2 linked regions of the Lytechinus pictus genome follow. The protein of the gene in region 2 interacts with the protein of the main gene of each other region in a pairwise test. Links are inferred from orthologs where the notes say so. Each region holds a gene or a part of one and is shown on either strand. Other genes may lie near its edges.

Region 1 (7,294 bases), on a different chromosome or scaffold from region 2:
TTTTATTCACCAGAGTGCTAAAAAACTTTTTAACATATTTTTGTGAGACCCTCTAGTATTGGTGAAAGTCAGGATTGGACAATCCCTTACTCTCTTTTTAATTTAGAAAAGATAGAGAAGAATTCAAATTAACTTAGGCCTGGCTAGGGCCATGTTATATGATTAATAACTGTAATAGCAACTGACACTCAATATCAATTAATTATCATGTTCATCCCTTAGTCTTAGAACAAGAGAAAATAGGCCAAACATTGCCAATGTTATTTCACTACACAGGCCAGGGGTTTAGGACAAAATTATAACCTTGTATATCGGATAGGTGAAAATAAGACCAAGTCAAATGCCAACTAGAATTTAGAAAGGGCAGTAGAGGCGCACAGCCAATGTGGGGGACTCTCTCCAATATAGGAAAAAATCTAAAAGACAAAAGAAACAAAACAAAAAAGAACATAATTTGTTTTCTGTTTAGATAACAACGAAAAACCTTATAAAAAAAAGTAGACGATGAAAAGGGGTAATTTTTCATGAGGAATCTGCTTATCACATTTCCATTTGCTGCCAAGGTAATCCTTTTGCAGCAAATGTCAAGAATGTAAACCAAGGAAATTGGTCTCCCAAAGCCCAGCAAAGGCCAAACTGGAGCTGGAGACTGTCTCTGAAATTGGATACCCAAATTCTTTACAAAAGTAAAAAGTTTCTGATATTGCAGATGTCCCACATGGGAGACAGTCTCCCAAATTGGCTGTGCGCCTCTACTGATGAAGGGGCAAAGCATTTCTCTTTTTATCATCTCCTTTTCTGCAGCCTGGGCCCTGGATCTCCATTTAATATTTTATCTTAGGATGACAGTTAAAGGACAAGTCCACCCCAACAAAAAGTTGATTTGAATAAAAAGAGAAAAATCCAACAAGCATACATGTAAAACTGAAAATTTCATCAAAATCGGATTTATTTATACTACTAAATTTTTAAAGTCTAGAAATAGAATCAAACTCTAATTTATTCAAATCAACATTTTTCTGGGGTGGACTTGTCTTGTCTCTAGACCAAAAGCTTCGGTCTCTGTTATGTTGGTTGTTCAGCTGGGGCCCGTTTCTCAACACATGAACAAGTTAGTAATATCTTTATCCACCAACCACGGAGTTAGTTCCAATCTTACTAAACCTGTTTCTCGAAAGGCTTCCTAACTAGAATACCTTGATATCGATACTATCGGTAAAAAGAACAGACGAGACGTAGCCTTAGTCACAAAATAGCATGATTTTCAAAAAGAAAAATTATGACAAAATTGCAAATATTATGATGAATTGGGAAATAAATCTTTTCAAAATAATAGCACAGGTGAATTATGCATCATACACACTTAGACCATGAAGACTGGAGCATTCAATTGCAGAGAAAATTAAATTATGAATAATTCATTTCATGACTAAAAAATCACTTGTGGACGTTGAGGTGGATACTCCCGGGAGACCAAATTTTAATAGTTTACGAAAGTAAACCATAACGGTTTTCTTTGTAAAATGATGATAATTATACGGACTTTTACGATTCCAAACGTCATCAAAATGTAGTTTAACGAAACATTTTTAATCATTGATACTGAAAGATACGATATTGGACAAATTATATGCATAAATTAGAGATAGAATTCATCCAACTGTTAATAAGGGTCTGAAAACAACAAATACGAGTTCAGTTATGGATGGCCTGACGTGGTAGAATCTTTATCGATTAAATCATTTTACTATTTCAAAATGAATGGTTTTGTGGCGTTTACCAACAGTTTTTATAGTTTCTTTGTATTATAATTATCATTGAATGCATTAACCCACTTGTTTTGTGATGTAATTTCAACCACTATGATTGATTACGTAAGATTATAATTGTAAAATTTCTAGGCACTTTTGCATGTCATAGTCTACCCACGTAATGTCACTACGTCATTAAAAAGAAGTTAAGACAGGTTCGGAGGTGTCATAACTATTTAGTGAGGTTGTTGTACCCGATCTTGGTAAAGAGGGCTTAGTGAAACGGTTAGCGGACAAGTAGCTCACTATCTCCGATTTAGTCAAGAAGTTAGACTTATGACGGTGTTGAGAAACGGGCCCCTGAACTCCGTTGGCTTCATGCACTCACCAAATACAGAGACCGAAGTTCTAGCGCAATCTGTACAGGGAATCAATGGCCATATGTTTATGTGTATTAAGTTCGGATAAAACAGGGCAGTGAAGTTGCGCGACAGCCGAGGTAAGTCACTGTTTTTGTTCCTTTTAACTTGATTTTCCCTGTTTTTTGGCAATTAATGGCAAGAGGGAATATTAATTTGCATTTCGGTCGTGTTAATTTTCAAAAGTTTGATTCATTAAAGACAAAAATTGAAGAGCCCCAACGGGGGTATTTTGCATTGTAAGTCCCCTAATGGTGGCTGCACGATAGCGAGCCGTCTGTGACTAGACTGTGTATGAGGAGAAGTTTATAAAATAATTTTTTTTTTTAAACTCCTCGAAACAGACGGCTGCCAGCTGTCTATCTTGTCTCTAGCTCTTGACCTTTAAAGAATTAAGTTAGTGATCTTGTTACTATTATACTAGATTTGTAACCAAAATGTGCAAAAATGTTCATTACCAAATGAGATGAGACAGCTGCTGCAGAACTGCGCCTGCGATTGTCCATCCAGCGACACTACTGACTGTCTACTGTTGTACTGGCACCGGGCCCGGCCCCTGGGACGCCGAGTTCGGTTTCTCGTTGCTGCTGAGCTTTCTGCCAGAATTTAAAACCCCGCAAAAAAGTCGCAGTCACGTACACGTGGTGATTTATCTTTGGAATTTCGTCATTAGCTTGCAAAGGTAAGCCGAAAGAAGTAGACTTTTGAAATGCTTAACTTCACTCCAGTGACTCATACTAAGTCTAATGTGTATACAAATTGACTGTCCTGTCCCTAGTAAAATTGTACAAGATCGCAGCCGCGGGCCAAAACACCTTCATTGCATAATCTGAAAGGTCACACAGCTGCTGACCCTTACCGGAAGTGGATGGCAAAAGGATTTCGCGCGATTGCTGCAAAATTGAAACTTCGCCGCGAGAAATATAAAACATAAACAAACTCTGAAATCCAATAGTTCCTCGCTTTCAGGTGTCGTTTTATCGATTTACTGTATAATCCATCCTTCAAGGTAAGGCAGAGGACTCACCATGTCATAGTCGGCAAACTGGACGTGCTGTTGATAAATGTGAAAATTGAAATTAGAAAATGGTTAACGTGAGAGCACTCCCTTCGGATCTTGCACGACTTGTGCTGGGTAAGTACAGGCGCGCGCTGGCTTGGATGAAGGACTAGACGAGTAGGATGGGGGGTTGGGTGTCCGGACACGTAACAAAAACGAAGCCTTCTTTTTTGTCTTTGGATTAAACAAAAACTGTGCATTGATTAGTGCTAATCATCATCAATATTTGTTCTCTATGAATTGTATGATATTGTATAGGCCTAATGTTGTAAATCGGATCAAAAATCAGATCGAAAATCGGATCGGCAGTTAAGCTTCTAAAATCGAAATCGAATCGAAAATCGAATCGGCGATGTTTAAAAACAAAGGAATAATGACATCAAAATGTTGTTCGCGGTCGTGTGCATCTTCCTGACAAAGTCACAAAGACGAATGCATTGGAATGGAAGTCGCCAACATTGAACATGCGCGATCATTTGGAACATGTTTTAAAGCAAGGGGTTTTGAGGTGTTATTGCTTTAAAATAAACCGAGTGATTTTTATTAGAAAGATAAACGAAAGACGCATCTTCCGAGCAAAGGCGCAAAGGAAAATAAAATGAAAATATTTCTCATAGATCACAGGTTAATGAACGATCGGCGGGACATCTTTTAGAAGTATTTTTAGGTGCTAGCGATTTAGAATTATTGGAATGATCTCTTACGACGCATCATCTTAAAGTCGCAAGTGCAATTAAAATGAAGTAGAAGACGCAAGCACGCACGATGATTTGAAATATGTTATTAAAATGTTTTGGGTAGCTAGCGTTTTCAAATCAATTTGAAGTTCACGGCGGGGTCCGCTATCACCACGAGGTTGAAGAGAAGATGTCTATCATCAAAAAAGGGGGTAAGAGAGTAGCGCAGTGAGCTCCGTCGGTAATACGACCTTTAAAAGTTCAAGGCGGCATCCGCTATCACCACGAGATTAAAAATAAAATGTATATCATCATAAACGATGTAAGAGAGTAACGCAATAAGCTCCGTCAATAGTACAGCAAGGCTCCACATTAACTTTTTTTGGTGGTGGCCCGTTCGGGCCACCAAAACCATTATATGATTTTTTTTGGTGGCCCGATATTAAAGTTTGGTGGCCCGAAAAATATAAAGAAAAACATTAAAAATGAATAAAACAAACTTCCGAAATATTAATTCTGCAGCCACTACCAGTACCACTATGTTACTTTTACTTTATACATCTTGTATGTAAACCTTGTTCGCTGTTATTTTACTTTGCTAATTGATAAATGTTTCTATCATGGTAAACATGAAATGATTGAAAGAGAATAAATGAATTGTATTGTTCGCAGGTTGTGTGGACTTTTTTTAAAATCTCTGTATAGAGATAATGGTAAAGTAAATAAATAGTGCATAGCAAATTCAGATAGATACATGTACAAAACAATGGTTTTTCCTTCCTTCCTCTTTGAATCCTAAAACCTAGATTATGCATGCCCCAAATCCAGTTTATTTCTGTTTTCTCTTTTGCAGCATATTATAGAAGGAGAAAATCACAGAAAAATATGCTGCAAAATTAGAACAATGCATAAAAGGGGGAAACAAACGAAAATAATTTTCATAAAGTATATTACAAAAAGAAAACAAAAATAATAAAAGAAATTAGTGAAATAAAACAAAAGAAAGAAAATGAAGAAAGAAAAAAACAAAGAACAGGGAAAAAAAGAAAAATAGAAAAGAAAAAAATTAGAGAGAAAAAAGAAAAGAAAATGAAAGAAAAATTAATAAAACAAACTTAATAAAAAAATGGGGAAAAGGGGAAAATTAAGAAGCCATTACATATATTTTTAAACAGCTGTGGCAACAGTCTATTCTGACTGGAATATAATTATTTAAAGCCAAGCAAATAATTTTCACTTACTTTTTGGGAATGGCACATTTTTATTTTTATATCCTTTAGTTTGTATTATTTCATTTTCAGTAGAAACATATTTTTTAATCAGGCATATTCAATGGGAAGGGGTATAAATGGTTTAACCACTGTCAAAAAAATGAAAGGAAAAAAAATATGAAAACGGCAAAAATTATATCTGGTGATTCTGGATAAAAAGTGTGAGAAAAGTCCTTCCCTATATTTGCCAAAATGTTGGGGAAAAAATCACATTTCATATCAATGAAATGCCTTCCCAAAGTATTTACTTTCTCAAGAGTGGTTTAAGAAGTCATTTATAAACAAGAAAGAAAGAAACTGTTTGTTTTTGGCTAGAAAATACACAGCTTCGAAAGAAACCAAGTATCAACATACATACAAATGCACACGTGGGACTGTGATGTACTTGCCTATGTGTTTTTATGTGTATTAATTCATGTGGAAATCGGTCTTTTTGAGTCAAAAGAGAGGTCATAATTCCTCTTCTTAATACTTGCAAATAATCAGGGTCCACCAGATTTTCGTAATATAGACTGTAGAATTGCATTTCATTGGTGTAAAATGTGACTTTGACTGAGATTTTCAAAGTTCTGTGGAAGATTTCTCAGCAGCAACATTTTTTATCGCAGCTCCCCGAGTCTGAATAGGCTGAGCTAGATCTAGAGCACAGCTGTATGCAGTGGCTTCATGCAAAGCTCACGCCAGCCGGCCGGTGCGTCTGGCTGGATAATAGCTACTGAATGCTATAGCTGTAGGCCTAATATGCAAACTTTGTGTGTGTGTATTTGTGTGTAGATCAACAAAAAGGGCGCATGACGAACTGGCTTGCAATTTGAGCTGTAGAAAGTTGATAAATGCGTGCAAAATTGGGAGAAAAATTGCGCTACTTTGAAAATTATTGGTGGCCCGATTCGGGCCACCAAAACTTAACATTTTATCAATAATGGTTGCCCGAGGTGAATTTTTGGTGGCCCCGGGCCACCGGGCCACCGCTAATGTCGAGCCTTGAGTACAGTCTTTAAAAGTTTATGGCGGGGTCCGCTATCACCACGAGGTTGAAGAGAAGATTTATATCATTATAAAGGGGGTTTAGGAAATTGGCTATACAATCTCCTAATATTTATATAAAAGTTAGGTCCTACCTTAATTCTTGCTCGCCAGAAGATAGAATGGGGTCCAGCCGCTCAGAATCTCAGGTAAATTGCACAAATCCGTGAATAGAAATATATACACTTCACAATTTCAAATAGATTAGAAAAAAGGGACAGATGTCACAAAATGTCTCGCGAAGTAATGAGCTCATTAAATATGCAGAGGATATAGACTTCGAATGAGTGGAAGTGACGGTAAGGAATAAGATTGGAAAATGCAGAGAAATAATTAAGTATAAGCTGATCCTCCACAAGATTTGATTCAATCCTCACTAGCAGCTGGATGAGATGGTCAGCATGAGTGGACAGGACGAAGGCAGAGAGTAGAGTGATGATGTGGTAGAGAAAACAAGTTGTTTTTACCAACATCAGAAAAGATGAGACAAAGAAATAAGCGCCAAAAAGAGGACAAAACACAGTTGAGAAGAACAAAGAGGAGAGAAGCAGACTGTGAGAAAAGCAAACATGCGAGCATCTCTGTAGTGATGTTGTATACCTGCAAGTTTATTGCAATAAACAAGGAACAATGAAAGGATGTTTGCTCCAAGTCTAGGAACAAAAGAAAGGTTGTTTCTCAATATAAGAATGTGTTTGCCAAGTAGATTTGGACAGAAAATGAGTTGGCTTGCTCTGTGAATGTACAGTATTGTAGTAAATACACATGGCGTGAACAAGTGAGAATATATGAAATTGGAAATAAAAGAAAGAATTTATATACATATACAGAATGTTGAAATATAAATGAAAATATATACAAGGAAAGAATATATAGATGTAGATATATAAAAAGATATAGTCAAGTCACTACAGTAGCTCCCCCCTAGATTTGTACCGAATAGAAATGTAGTAACAAATCGACAAGGGAAAGTAAAAGTGAACTTGGCTATATAAAACAAGAAAATAAAAGGAGTGGAAACATCAGTTAATTTTGAGAAATGTTTCAACCGTCTCCGAAAAATTGAACGTACTTGGCAGGAAACCTGACA
Region 2 (7,935 bases):
CATCTACGTCAACAAAATGTTGAAAGTGCCATATTTCATAGCTTTCTCGATATAATTCAAAGTAAACCACCGTTATAGCACACTGGCAAGCCATGGGTGTCGATTGGTAGCCTATTCATGGTTGGGGGATGTTTTGTTCTCTTGTGAGGGAATTTTGTTATTTTTCTATTTCTAGTCTAGTTTGGGCAGAGGTCAGTCGCGTAATGAGTCAGAAGTCTTAGGGCCAAGACATGACAAAAGGGCAAAATTTTGAAATTGTTGTGTGCAAGGGAAGCGAGCGAGCAAAAAATAGCCTTTTCAATACATAAATCAATTTGTTTTGACAGGTTTAAGACATATATCATATCAAAATCCGTTGCAAATATTTTATCTATAAAATGTATTGAAAATTTAGCTCTCTCGCTTCCCTCGCTCACAGCATTTTAAAATTAATTTTGCCCTTTGTCATGTCTTGCATCTAAAACTTTAGACTCATTACGCCACTGACCTCCATCCAAACTAAAATTAAAAGATTAAAAAATCCCTCACAAGATACTTGTTGTAAATTGTAGTAGTAATCCCTTTGGCAGCTCATACAGAAGCTATACTGGGATGATGAATAAAGTGAGCCACTGGAAGGAGTGTCATGAAGTGCAGATATGGTGATGGATAGACATACCAATATTGCATATGTACAGTAAAACATGCTACGCTGAGTGCAAGTAAAATCCAAGCTTCTGACTTTAAATCATATGGGATCCAACAGGGGGCTGCATCATTCTGATGGCAGGGAGAGCAGCCCTCTTGAAAGAGAAGAAAACAGCCCCCAAAAGGCCCAAGTTCCCAACCTAGACCAAAAGCTTCGGTCTTTGCTATATTGGTTGTTCAGCTGAACTCCGTTGGCTCCACTCACCAATTACAGAGACCGAAGGTTAGTTCTAACTCGATCTGTACAGGGACTCAATGGCCATATGTATAAAGTTCTGATAAACCAGGGAAGTGGGAGTTGAGCGACAGCCGAAGTAAGTCAGTTTTTTGTTTCTTTTAAGTTTATATTTTTCCTGTTTTGGTGCATTTCAGGCCAAAACGGAATAATAATCTTTATTTTGGTCCAGTTCTTTTTATATATTTTTATGAAATAAAGAAAAAAAATTGATGAGCCCGGTCAGGAAGATTTTGCATTGTTAACCCCCTAATTGCGGCTGCATGATCGCGAGCCGTCTGTGTACGACTCGAGGAGAAATAAAAAATAAATATTGAAAAACTCCTCGAAACAGACGGCTGCCAGCTGTCTACCACTCTACCCCCAACCATGAATACAGATCGACACCGATGACTTGCCAGTGTGTAGATCTAGACCTAGACCAAAAGCTTCAGTCTCTGTATTTTGGTTGTTCCGCTGAACTACGTTGGCTCCACTCACCATACATAGACTGAAGGGGATGGGGCCCCGTACCTACAGCCAACGTATAGTGAACTAGCGTTTTATAGATCGCGATTTAAAACTGTTTTTTAAGCAAAATTGAAAGTTTCATGGTTTCCATTATCAGGGAAATATAAAAAACTTAAGTAATTGCATACCTTGGGCTGGAGTTATTGAAAAAAATCCTCTGGATGATTGAGAAATCTGTCATCTAAGACATTTTCACCTGACCTGACGGTTTTTCTTGCAAGTTGCCATCTTGAATGACGTCATTATCGTTATTAACTTAATGTCTCGAATCGATATATCGCGATTATAACTAGTACTAGTACTAGTATAACTAGTATCGTTTATCTTCGGTTTCGTTCGCATATGGAGCAGATCGTATAATATCGAAAGCAATATCGATATCACATTCGTGATTGTTGACGTTCGTTCGTAAATATTTTATAGTTTGGCTGCCATTTTGACCATTTTTATCGTGTTCAACCCAATTAAACATCAGTAAAGTATATTTTTCATGCCTTTTTCATCTATATCGTTTAAAGTATTAAAACATTGAAATATCAAGGTCTAAAAGTTTGTTGTTTATACATCCTTAGATTGTAAATTCGATGTGTAAAATTACATCAAACTTTGGACTGTGAATTGACAAAAGGGAGGGAATGAGAACACATGCGAGCCCACACGTACACCCTACCGTCGGTAAATGGGGATTACAGTAAAATGTCAGAAATTGTTGAATAAATCCCCAGAAACGACGGTTATTCCTGTCTAATCTAGACCTAACGTTAGAACCTATTTCTACTAAACATGCTAAACAGTGTTTTATGTACGTCGTTAGACTACTTTGAATTCTATCTAGATAATTAGAGTAGAGTAGTAGACTCTATATGAAATATGGCGCTTTCAATTTCATAGTTTCAAGATGCCTGATGAGTGATGCTCTTTATAATTATAGTTCAATATTGCATATTTGGTGAGCGAAAGCAAATCAGCGGGTCGACGTCAATTTAGACAGACGTCATGACAGAGCTAAAAGCTTACTAATTATACTAGTAGTAGTAATAATAACCTCGCAATACGTGTGTAAAATAAAAATAAATTGTCTAAAATTTAAAAAGCGTGTTGCAATTTGCTTTTCATGTTTTTAAAAACAGAACCAGGCACAGACAGAGCTATTGCCATTTTTCTTTTTCATGACTGAAACAGAAAAACAACAAATTGGAACGGAAATAAGAGCGTAAAAAATGGGGCTCCCCTCCGCGGCACATACCGTACCCACCAAGCATATACTGAGTGCCCCCCCCCCCCTCCCGGGCTAAGAGTCCGAAGTCAAGGCCTTGCGAATTAACGTTAATCGTCCATCCACGAGAACGAAATGTGATTGTGAACCATATTCAACAGTTCAAGTAGCCTTGACCGTAAAGACTCTATACTATCATATTTGTCAATAATAACACTTCCACTGACTTACTAAACATGCTACAGGCAGTGATAAATGCCGATTAAAGATTTTCAGGCGTTTCAGAGTCCGCTCCTCCATCGAGTCCATGTTTGTGAAGACTGCACAGGAGCTTTTTAATACAGTTTTGATACGTACGTACGTATACCGCGCGCTGCGAACGTAATGTTATGGAAAGCCACCATTGCCATTTTACCTTATTTTCAAGCCTGTTGAATACGGTATGGGGGTGAATACCTAGCCTCTTGTCGAGGCCCTGTCGGCTGCTTTCCGAGCGAACATGGCACGGGAGAGAGCGAAGCAGAGGGAGCAGAGCGCCGCGAGACAGGGCCTCTTGACATCTGTGCCGAATTTCACCGACTTTCTTTTGGTTTTTGTTGTTTTTACCAATTCACCGACCAAAAACTGGTCGGTGAAAATCATCCAATGAGAGCGCGAGCTGCTATGACGTCATATTAAATATTCATGAGCTCCTCTTGAATGGCGACCCTTTGATTCTTGGCGAAGAGTGACGACGAAATATCAAAGAGCACTGAATATGCCTCTAAAACGCTGAATATTTACCGATTTAAGGATTTGCAAGTCGATGAAATTAACTCTGCAGTGAAAGGACGAGATGTCTTTGTAAATCTACCCACAGGATATGGAAAAAATGTAATATTTCATGCGATTCCACCGGTCGATCCGGGGCGTCGATTATCGATCTCCGCTGTGCAGTGCAGTGAGGGAAGCTGGGGTGGAGTTGCTGGGAGTTGACTCGAGTCTGACCAGCGGCTGGGCAGTATCTCCCGGGAAGTTTCGGGGCGGTGATGGGTCTGTTACGGCCAGTAGTAATAGTAGTAGTAGTAGTACCACTACATTTTGCTGGTTATATCCCCTTTAGTGTCCCGCAATTAAATGAATCCCCTGCAGAATAGTGGACTATTATATAGTAATTCCGAACCCAAGACGAAACAGCTCTGACATTTCATTGGTTTACTCGGTGACCGGTAATATCATGACTCATGTATATTCATTAGGACGACGTTCCTCATGAATATATAATTCAGTTCAGATGTCAAGAGGCCCCGGGGGCGAAATTATTTTTCCCACCGAGTTCTGGACCAACATATGAATATTCATGACTTGCGTCTTCGGTTTGAGAGTACGCATGCGCGTGGACTTGCGCCTCGACCAGCTAGTGCCGGTCGTAAGCATTCACGTTGCTCAGAATGAATTAGCATCGTCAAATTACCGGTACCCTTAAGGACGTTGCACAGTTATGTTTGTGCGCATTATGATCTGCGCATAGTTTACACTCTACGCGCTGACGTCACAATGGATGAACAGGTGATTAATTAGCTCTGGGTTTGAAGCTGATTTTTCTCATCTCCTGCACTTTAACTGCAGATCTGATGTGTTATTTCATGAAGCTAAAAATGGAATTATTCCATTAACCATTCAAAAAATAAATTCTCTACGATTTCAAAATACTTTACTCTGCAGTGCTGCCAAGAATCACGAATATTACCCCGAGATCGAATAAATGATAGAGTGGTTTTGATTTTTTCTTCACATAGATACAAAGCATTCGGCGCATTTTTGGTGTTTTAAAAAGCACATTTGCTCTAATAAAAATGCTGATAGTTTAAAAACAAGCACATGAACCCCTATTTTTTAATGTTTGTATCTCTTAGGTATACCTTTCTCTACAACTCTGCAAATTTTTGTGAAAATGACATGGATTTTGAATAATGTGCAGCATTTATTGTACGTTAGTAGTTTGTTACTGAAATTTTACATTTTTTAGATTGGGATTTTGTTATCTTTTACGCCATTTAAGAACTTACAGTGCTGTTAAGCTTAAAATTGCAAACAAATTGCACTATAAATAGATTCTCCATTCTAACGATACAATCTAAGCACTTTTTGTATTAATAAATGGGATATGTATGTAACTAAACAATTGATGCGAGCGCGAAGTGCGAGAGGAAGAAATTTGAGATTTTAGACCTTAAAGCAGGACACTCTATTCATTTTTGTAATCATAAATATGATATAGTTAATTGGTATCATTAATAATGCGATTGTAAAGCGTGAGCAGACATTCTTGATATTCTGATGTGAAACTGGATAATTTAAGTACATTTTAAATAAAGAACATGCAGGCTATCGCGCATGTTTTAGATTTAGACCTAGAATCTGGGCATTCTGAATACATTTGTTTAATGGAACATTATGGAATACACGTAGACATTTTGAACTTGGCAAATCAAACAATGTGGCCACGCAGCATGAGCTTAAAATATGTAGACCATAAAATGGACATTTTACAGAGCACTTAAATTTGTAAATAAAAAAAAATAATGAAAGCTCGAACGAAGTCCGAGCTAAAATATGTTTTTTATATTGATTTAAAAATTTGTTCCATATCAGCCTATTGAGCAAGATATGAATCTCATCGAACAGGCAATTCTGGCACAAAGCGCAAGCATAGTAACATGAAATATTTTTTTTTCAAGTCTTCCCCTCACATTATTTCATTCACTCGCCTTCCTCCCCTTATTTTCCTCTTCTTTTGTTTTCTTCTGTCTTTATTCTTCTTTTCTTTTTTCTTTTCTTCTTTCCCCTTTTTTTGCTCTGCCAATTTTTTTTGTGGGGGGGGGGGGTGCACACCGATTCTCAGGGGGGCACGTGCCCCCTGCACCCCCCGTAGCTACGCCACTGATGCACTGGCGTACCTAAGATTTTCCAAAAGGGGGGAAAATTTTTTGGAGGATATTTCTCAGTGGGGGGGGCACGTCCCCTGAATCAGTTGTGATTCGTCAGAGGGGCAGTCTGCCCCCCCCCCCTTGGTAAACTAGTGGTTCCATGCTGATACAGCGTAGATCAGAGTCTAGATCTAGAGACTAGACTCGAACTAAGATAATTTTTTTAGACCTAGGACTGGTTTTGTATACGGACTAGACAAACCATGGAAAATAAGCTAACATTTGTCTAAACCTAATTAAACGTAAAGTTCGGTATTAACCAGTTCGAATTTAACCATGGCATATTGGCATTAGTCGGCTATTCAGCGTTGTAGTCAAGGCTCAAACCTCCAAGGCCAAGGCTTCAATACCAAAGGCCACGGCGTGGAAACCCAAGGCCAAGGCCTGAAAACCTCACGGCCAAGGCATTTCAAATTTACGATATACAGAACAATGAACTAACAATACTTAGGCGGCAGACAACACACATAGTAAAATGTATGTGAGCGAGGGGACTGAGCAAGAAAAAAATTAACCTTTGCACATTTAAAACAAAAATAATTTCATGATGGAGATATATTAAAATAATTATAGTTACCTGTGTACACATAATCCATAATTTTTCTAGGCGATTACATGTATTTTCAAAATGAGATTATGAACTGCGTGAAGTAATTGTGTGTTTTGTAGAAATTAAGTTGAACAAAGGCTTTCTAAAATGATTTTTAATTATGAGATATATATTTTGATTTAGGTTTTGCTTCTCAGTGACAAAGCCTTGCGAGCAAGCGGTTTTGAAAAAAAAATCAATTCTGAAGTTGTAAAACTTGATTTATGGTCAATTATGGGGCTAAGCATCCTTGCGCAATGTTGCCAGCGCAAACCACCAGCTAAAACTTCTTGACATGTCGTGTAATAAGACATGGAAATTAAATATTCTGAGCTGGTTTTGTAATCATGAAAAAGATGTCTATCTAACTAAAAAATAACTTTACGCTAGCTAAATTTTTTTGATATACTGACCAGTAAAGGAAGCAGTTAATTACTGCATTTTAAATAGGATACATACTCACCAATAAAAATAATGCGAGCGCAAAACGCGAGCTCAAAAATTTGTGATATTCCAACCTGAAAACTGGACATTCTCAGCATTTTTTTTGTGAACGGAAAGAGAACGAGTACAATAATTGATGCGAGTGCAGGAAGCAAGCCAAAAATTTGTGATATTCCAACCATAAAGCAACATTTTATACATTTTTGTAACCATGAGCAGGATTAGTACTGCATGTACTAAACAATAATTGATGCAAGCACGATTCAAAATCTGTGATTTTCGAACCTAAAATGTATTATGTTTTATTATTAAATAAGGTATATTTCCTTTAAAAAAAGGGCATATTTCATTTGAAAAAAAAAATCCTACAGGGAATTTTTATTTAGGGGGGGGGGGACAAGAGAGCACAAAGCGCAAGCTAAAATTTTCAAATGCTTAAACTGAAAATGAATCATTTTTAGGACTCTTGTCAGTTTTCATATTTTTTCTGCTTACAACCACTTTTATATTTTAATTCTCATTTCTTGTATCTTCTACACTTATTATACCTTAAAAAACAGAATAAAGAATACTAACAAAATAATAAAGTTATATTCAAAAGGTTATAAAAGAAACAGGGCGCACCACATACCCTTAGTTAGGAGAGGGTAAATCTTAATTATTTTTTTAAGCAGTTAATCAATCATTAATACTTACTGATAATATTAATAATTATTAATTATACCATTATTATTTTTCTTATTAATTATTATTTCTTGAAACCATATTGACACAAAAACAAATACGTTGCTATATATATAGATCTAAGCCTGTGAGGCCTATGTAACCGGTAATTTGACGATGCTAATTCATTCTGAGCAACTAAACGTGAATGCTTACGACCGGCACTGGTCGAGGCAAAGTCCACGCGCATGCGTACTCTTAATCCGAAGACGCAATTCATGAATATTCATATGTTGGTCCAGAACTCGGTGGGAAAAATAATTTCGCGCCCCGGGGCCCGTTTCTCAACACCTGGACAAGTTAGTCATATCTTTATCCACCAACCACGGAGTTAGTTCCAATCTTACTATACCTGTTTCACGAAAGGCTTCCTAACTAGAATACCTTGATATCGATACTATTGGTAAAAAGAGCAGACGAGACGTAGCCTTAGTCACAAAATAGCATAATTTTCAAAAAGAAAAATTATGACAAAATTGCAAATATTGTGATAAATTGGGGAATACATCTTTTCAAAATAATAGCACAAGTAAATTATGCATCATACATACTTAGACAATGA

What was found. The genes of interacting proteins can lie anywhere in the genome.
Region 1: the proteins of phytanoyl-CoA dioxygenase, peroxisomal-like (region 2) and peroxisomal targeting signal 2 receptor-like interact in a two-hybrid assay, tested with the Homo sapiens proteins (2 studies listed by BioGRID, with this or other methods). The link is inferred for Lytechinus pictus from reciprocal best matches to the Homo sapiens genes PHYH and PEX7.

What each region holds. Positions count from the first base shown.
Region 1 is NC_087248.1:6,724,444-6,731,737, forward strand, and holds the start of peroxisomal targeting signal 2 receptor-like, read right to left. Parts: upstream 3,021-7,294; 5' UTR 2,629-3,020; intron 1-2,628. UniProt on the Homo sapiens protein: Receptor required for the peroxisomal import of proteins containing a C-terminal PTS2-type peroxisomal targeting signal. Specifically binds to cargo proteins containing a PTS2 peroxisomal targeting signal in the cytosol.
Region 2 is NC_087251.1:22,709,561-22,717,495, forward strand, and holds the start of phytanoyl-CoA dioxygenase, peroxisomal-like, read right to left. Parts: upstream 3,021-7,935; 5' UTR 2,958-3,020; coding exon 2,880-2,957; intron 1-2,879. UniProt on the Homo sapiens protein: Catalyzes the 2-hydroxylation of not only racemic phytanoyl-CoA and the isomers of 3-methylhexadecanoyl-CoA, but also a variety of other mono-branched 3-methylacyl-CoA esters (with a chain length of at least seven carbon atoms) and straight-chain acyl-CoA esters (with a chain length longer than four carbon atoms).